Coturnix japonica: one gene and its partner. The protein of the gene in region 2 binds, or shares a complex with, the protein of the main gene of each other region. Links are inferred from orthologs where the notes say so. Each region holds a gene or a part of one and is shown on either strand. Other genes may lie near its edges.

Region 1 (3,655 bases), on a different chromosome or scaffold from region 2:
ATTAATGCAATGTTTTTCTTCCCTATAGGTCTATTCCTGCTCCTGTATATGTCAAAGGAAACTGTTGTTCCTTTCAATAGAACAGGATTGGACAACATATTTTAGAAGTGTTAAGTTACACTTCTTGTTAAGCAGAAAAACAATAATGATAATGCTTGTCAATTTCCGTTTTTTCTAAAAAAAAAGTATTTTTAATCAACCTATTGCCATCTCATTTATTTTTTTTTTACATTATTCTCCAGTAATACTGATGATTTGGGTCTTAGGTTTGGCAATTGCTGCTTTATAGCTCAATTGTATTAACATCCTAACCGAGTCAGATAAAAGCATATTGCCTACAAACTTTTCCACATAGTATGAACTACATAAAAAGCTCTCTTCCATATAGTGTTAAAGTGGTTATGTAGTGTTGCCTGTACAGCTGTAGCAAGCTTCTTGCCTTTCATCCTATACATCATAATATCTCAAGATGAAAGACTGTTTAAAATGAACATTATAATAACATGTTCAGCCACATAGCTGCACTTTACAGCACTGACCTCTAGGTATGTACTAAACAGTACAAAAAAAATAACGGATACCAAGTGCTAGTTTTGAACTGGCAAGTAATTCTGACTGGCATGTCAATGTCAAGGCAGACAGAAAGATCTAGAGTTCCAACGACCAAACCACAATGGATTTTTCTAGTGTAACTGCCTAGGAATTGGAGAAGTTAACAGAAACAAAGGCCGCTGTATAGCTAGAGTACAGGAGAGGCCCATGTGAAATAAAAGCAAAAAGGAAGTAAGGAAGCAAACAGATGGAGCACACAACAGGAGAGCAGCGAGTGAAGTACAGCAAGCAGAAGTTCCGTAATACTGAAAAACAAGTAGTTCAGGGAGAGGCTGGTCAATAAAGATGTTCAGTCAGGGGCTTTTTTCTTCTACCTTGTACCCAGGAACTGATTTGGATAATACAGAACGTTTGGAACCATCTTTTCTTGGAGTAGCACTTTTGTCTCTTGTTTTTTGTCTTCCCTGAAAAGAATCCTCCTGGTTGTCTGTGGCGCAATCACCTTCAGATACATTGCCAGACGAATTGTCCTATAATGAAAATACCATAGCTATATTTTTTACTTTTTTGGATAGGCAGACAAGTCTTTTGTATGGCCCTTAGAGCCAACTAAGGTAAAAGAAGGATATATCTTTCCTTCTACAAAAGCACAGGGTACATCACGATACAGAACATCTTTTCTCATAACCTTCTTTATCTGTTTGTTTTCATGCTAAGAGACTGGCATCAGCAATAACAGTAATGCTTTTTCAGTTATCTTGATAGCATAGTGGGATACACTAGTTCTTTGAACCATTTTCCTTTGAAAGTCAGCAAGAAATCAACTATATGCAAGATGTTGTTTATATTACAAAGGGCCAGCAAAAGTTAAAAGTGCCCTGGCCATGCATTTAAAGTGTATTACCAAACAGCACTATCTCAAATTAAATATGTGAAGGTTTTTTTCTGCCACCCTCATCTCATATTTTCCACCAGGAGCACCCTAAACATTTCATGTTGATTGCAGCAGAAGAATGCCAAAGGCAAAACATGCTTCAGTGTTTAATGCAGAACCAAACATAGATTTCATGCTGCAGTTAAATATTTTTTTTGAGGAATGGGAAGGTAAGAAAAAGGGGAAGAGGTTCAAAGAAAGTGAGAGACCAACATAAGCATAACTGAGAGCAGCAGCACAAGATTGTTCTCAGAGAAGCATTAATAAAGGCCTCCAAAAAGCTCCAGCAGAAAACAATACAATCAATCACATTTCTTGCACTAAAAACTGAAAGGCCATGTAACAATGGTGCTTTACAGTAATAGGCACTCTGTGCAGAGTAATCCGCCTATGCCCCAGAACCTAAAATCCAAACAACAGACATAGGACAAAAGGAGGAGTATAACAGAAAAGCAAAGCTAACTACATGGTAAAAAGAATGCAGGTTTCACAGCTGATGGGTGTTTTCTATTTATTTATTTATTTTAATTGTGGCAGGGCTATTTAGGATAAGTCCACTAAAACACAATAGATCAGGGAAACTGCTACCTTACTCCAACAATTGAGAGGGGATAAAAGGAAAAGGCATATCATAGGACTCAACAGGGAGAATGGTAGGCAGCTCAGGACTCAGGAAGAGACTTGAGAACTGCCTTCTTTTGCGTTCAACAGATATTTTGCTCAATGATTACTAAAGAAGCCCTGCTCTATACCAAACTCACTTCATAAGAATCTCCTTCATCTTTCACACAGAAGCACATTTTCCTTTCTGTGCTCTCTCATCAAAAGCCATCTGAACTTCTGTGGAAAATGAAAGGATAATCTCCTCAGTCCAATTACTTTTCTTTGCCATTAAATAAAAGTGGAAGCCAATAGAAATGGGAACTAGTAAGAGGTGATTAAAGACCAACTATTAAAACAAATAAACAAACAAAAAAGCTCCACAACCTGGACTATGATTAAATCAAATTTTTGTGTTGAAATGTAACATGCTAAGTTTACTTTCTCTTTCCCCAGAATAGAAGCAAAAAGGGCATATTAACACTACCACTCGCTAGTCTACAAGCTGACCCCTTCCATTCTTCTTTAGTTACGAGTATTTTGTGAATATTTAACAATATATATTCCTATGGAGAAATTTCACTTTTTACCTTCTATCAATTGCCCACTATACCATTTTAGTCAGCTGAACTAGAAATTGTTAAATGCATCTGTGAATCTGAGAATTAGGGCTCAATTTCTACAAAATGGTCAGTACCAATACAACAACAACACCAAAATGATAATTATTTAGTCGTACCCAGATAGCTCATCTGAAGCACAACTGTTTAACACTACCAAGGTAGGTATGTGAAACTTTTGCTTATATTCTAGTAACAATTAATTTGAAGTTTGCTTAAGTAAAAAGAACACATACACCTACTAAAGATGTATCAAAAAGCAACAATAAAACTGCCTTCAACCTTTCCTTTAAGCTGCAGCAATAAAATAACTGTTTCTGTATTTAATGCTTCCTGCTTCTACTTCACAGGGAAACAAAGTAAGCAAGACTAATAAGTCCTTTCCTTTAGTAATAGGATACATTCTATGAAACTAAAATAGCAAAAACATGCTGCGAACTGAACTGAAATTCACTCCTCTCAGAAATGCCAGCAGACAGATCTATCACCTGAGGAAAAGGCTATAAGGAAGGTTCTTCAAAACTTATTTAGAAAGAAGAAAAAAAGGGCCTGATATTCCAGAGATTTGTTTGACTTACTTTAAAAACAGAGTAAAATGGAAAGTTGAAGAGAAATGTTATAAAATAAAGAGAAGTACTAAAAAGGTGGGTATTCTGAGTTTACAATTCTACTTCATTTTGCAAAAGTTAAAAGATTGTAATAGGAAATTACTGAAACTAAAAAAAAAAAAAAAAAAAAAAGCAAATAGAAAGGATTATTTTTGTTGTTGAAGAATACTTTCAATGTGTCTCACCGAATTGCCTTTGGTTTTCCGTTTCTCGTCACCTCGCCCTTCCTCTGCATCATCTGAATCCCCGTCACTGTCTAATGCAGGCAGCTCTGGATCCAAAGGGGGTTCGTAAAGAGCTGTGTTTAATGGTAAGTAACGAAGTTCATCTGGAGAATATCT
Region 2 (3,655 bases):
CCTCCTGCCTCCCTTGCTGCAGTGTTTAAAGCAATGTGACACTGCTCAATTCACTGGGTCAGACTCGTGGGGAAGCATTTACCCCACATTCAGCATCACACATTCCCTAAATCCATCCCACCACGTGTCATCACATCCCCACTGCAGCCACTCAGCACATCAGATCGAGTGCTGCGTCCTGCAGCCACGTGAAAGGTTTCTACTCATTCTCCTTCACTCCCTGGTAGATTTCTGTAGTCCTATTAGGAATAGCTGAGAGCTCTGGAACACCACGGAGGGGCAGAGCAGTGGGGCAGGCAGGGAAAGCCAACCCCTCCCATTGCTCAGCCAACAGGAGGAAGGATGGGCATTATTTGAGATGACTATTTTAGGTACCATTTGCTCTTTGGAACTGCACCACACAGATATTTGCCCAAAGCCGCCCCGAGGATTTAATTGGACCAAGCTGCCTCGTTACAGCTGCATTACTTACGCTTGAACTGATATTCTCTCTGTACTGATTAATTCATAGGTTAAATCCACAAAGAATGAGGAACATTAATAATTGAAACTCGCATTAAATACATTTGCAATCTCAAGGCTTTGTTTGTTTTCCTAAAAGAAAAATGAATATGCTGCCTGGATTACTTCATGAGGTGGCTGCTTGCTGTGTGTGAGGCACCAGCATTTCCTATCAGGAACAGGAGTAAAAGAAGGCAGCACATTGAGATTAGCCCTGCCAGAACAGCACATCCTCACTGTTCTCCCCCATAAGCAAAGTCCTTCCCCAGGCCGAATGGAGCAGTGTGCAGACTGACAGCCACACCTGGAATGAATTAACGTGCTGGATGCAAGGGCTACCAAATTAAAAGCTTCCTTTATTAAGAGGCAGAGCACAGGAAAACAATCTGCGTGTTAAATAATTCAACTTCCAGAGCGGCTGTTTGCAGCTCCCTGTAACATGTTATGGCTTATTGGAGAGCCTGGAAAGATCAAGAGAACTTCTCCATGTTCTTACATGCAGATAAACCATTCCTTGAAGGGCACAGTGTGCTGCTAACTGCTGCTCAATGCAAAGACCTCCCTGCATTGCAAGACCTGCTCTCGACTCTGTGCAAACATATCTAAGCATTTAATTCCTGGGCTGTAGCTACAATCAGATAGAAGTGAACCTTAAAGAACATAATGTCCCCTCAGTACAAGATGCTTCCACTCTATCTGTGTAGCAGCAGCGCTCTGGTAGAGATGACGGACAAAGAAAGAGATACAGCTTCAAGGGAGAGCCCCAGCCTTTTACCAGCTCCAAAGGCACAGCAGCAGCAGGCAGCCTCGTGCACACACAGCTCCACCACCCATCCCTCCAGCTACGTCTGCCGGGTCTCAGAACTGCAGCAAAAAGGATGTTGTTGCCATCTGCCCCGACTTCAAAAGAACCCACTAAACCTCCGTGTCCATTTTCCTTACTGTATAAAATCCTACATGGTTTTGTCTCCTGGCCTTACATTTTCCCCCAGGAACTTACTTCTAACAGCAGCAGCGTCTCCTGCTCCGTCCATTCTCTTCCAGCACTGGCACCTTTACTCTATAAAAGATGAGGAAAACACAATTGTATTCATGACTGGGATTCCTCCAGCCCAAGTGCCAGACATTGCACTTTGCTGACAGATCCTGAGTTCTATACTCAAGATTCTGCTGAAAGATTCTTGGTTCTGTACTGAATTATTTGACACCTGGCTGACTTCGAAGCATTCAATTAAAATATCAAATAAGGATAACACAAATTCAGTGTCTGTAGACTGACAGCACTGAGTAGTTTGGGACAGGCACGTGGTCCTCTCCTTCAAAACTGTTTACCCAACATGAATACAGCGAGGCATCTCAGTGTCCTCCAGTGAGAACTGAAGTGGGAATCTGAGAGTAACGAGTCATTTCACTGTCATCTGGAGGAGGACAACTGATAGAACCCACTTAATAGAAGCCACAGGGGAACAGAAATCCAAACGCACTTACCTTTGCTAAGGTCTTTTTTGAGTAAATATCTGTGCGCAGCCCAAAGTTCTGCAGGTCAGTGGGTTTCTCTTTGTTCTTCTCAGGAAAACTCAGCATCTGCTGAGCAGCTGGGATCTGTGAGCAAACATGAAAGGAAGGACGGAGTGTCAGGAGCTGAAAGGGATCCCCCAAGTTTACAGACAAAGGTTGAGCACAACACAGAACCAACAAAACAGCTCAACATGATGAGTTATGGAGATGTCTTTACACAGCATCAGTGCGGATCTGATTCAGGAGAGGAGGCTCCACGGAGACCTCACTGCAGCCTTCCAGTACTTGAAGGGAGTGTATAAACAGGAGGGGGAATGGCTTTTTGTGAGGGTGGGCAGCGATAAGACAAGGAGGAATGGTTTTAAACTGAGACAGGGGAGGTTTAGGTTGGATCTTAGGAGGAAGCTTTTCACCCAGAGGGTGGTGATGCACTGGAACAGGTTGCCCAAGGAGGCTGTGGATGCCCCATCCCTGCAGGCATTCAAGGCCAGGCTGGATGTGGCTCTGGGCAGCCTGGGCTGCTGGTTGCTGACCCTGCACACAGCAGGGGGTTGGAATGCGATGAGCACTGTGGGCCTTTTCAGCCCAGGCCAGTCTATGATATGATACGATATGACTCAACTGACCCATTCTGAACTCATGAACACCTTCCATGAGCAACATGTGCAGACTCTCCTGCACGACACTGACCAGAGCTGCCACCTCCCACCCCCAGGGCACTGCAGGGCTCACCTGTGGGGTACGGATGTGCAGAGGCATGAGGCCGGAGGGTGTATCGGCCAGCACGTTGAAGTGAGGGGTGGGAGGAGGGCCCATGGCCATGGGGCGGCTCTCCGGGTCCACCTGGTAGTTGATGAGACCCCACTGCTCCAGAAAAGCGTGCACTCTGAAACAACAGGACAAACCCACATCTTAAGAAACAAAGCAAGACTGCAAAGACAGCCAAGGAATGGTTGGTTTTGGATCAGATTGGCTCATCACCTCCTACAGACCTTCACTGATCACAAGAGCAATAAATATGGCATACTGTGTGGACTTGATTACCTCTCCAGCATGACACCTAGCATATAGCACGGGAACAGAACAACAGGAAATCTATTTAAAGATGAAGTAAAGCTCAGGCTGCATATGTGGAGCCATCTGCAGACATCATACCAATGTGAGGGCTGCACAACCCCTTTCTTCTCTCACCCACCTGTAGCTGTTCATATTGGATCTACCATCAGCAAGTTCTGAGATTTCAGGGCTCTGCTGCACCTCACAACTTAAATCTGGTGAAACACAGCAAACCAACCAAACTGAACTGCAGACCCAGGAACTCTGAAATGAACTCCACACGCTTAATAAAGAGCAGACACTAAAGGTTAAGACCCCAACTCTGTAGGTTCACCGAGCACCCAGAACTCCATAAATAAAGGACAGTATAACATACTCTGGTTACAAGAGGAGGCTGAACAGACTGCTAAAGTGACAGCACAATGGCTACTGGATGGATGGGCCAGGCTGGATGGGCTCTGAGCAACTTGAGCCAGCTGTAGTGCCCCTGTTCAGTGCAGGGGAACTGGACTAGATGACCTTAAATGGCCTCTTCAAACTCAATTGATTCCGCTACCCACACCTATCCTGCCTACCAGAG

Evidence for each region. Proteins that work in one complex are often made in the same cells at the same time.
Region 1: SMARCC1 (region 2) and PHF10 share a complex: the UniProt entries of both Homo sapiens proteins name them as parts of the neural progenitors-specific chromatin remodeling complex. The link is inferred for Coturnix japonica from reciprocal best matches to the Homo sapiens genes SMARCC1 and PHF10.

The regions. Positions count from the first base shown.
Region 1 is NC_029518.1:36,964,048-36,967,702, reverse strand, and holds part of PHF10 (PHD finger protein 10), read right to left. Parts: intron 3,654-3,655; coding exon 3,500-3,653; intron 1,083-3,499; coding exon 927-1,082; intron 1-926. UniProt on the Homo sapiens protein: Involved in transcription activity regulation by chromatin remodeling. Belongs to the neural progenitors-specific chromatin remodeling complex (npBAF complex) and is required for the proliferation of neural progenitors.
Region 2 is NC_029517.1:723,779-727,433, reverse strand, and holds part of SMARCC1 (SWI/SNF complex subunit SMARCC1), read right to left. Parts: intron 2,906-3,655; coding exon 2,752-2,905; intron 2,104-2,751; coding exon 1,990-2,103; intron 1,562-1,989; coding exon 1,502-1,561; intron 1-1,501. UniProt on the Homo sapiens protein: Involved in transcriptional activation and repression of select genes by chromatin remodeling (alteration of DNA-nucleosome topology).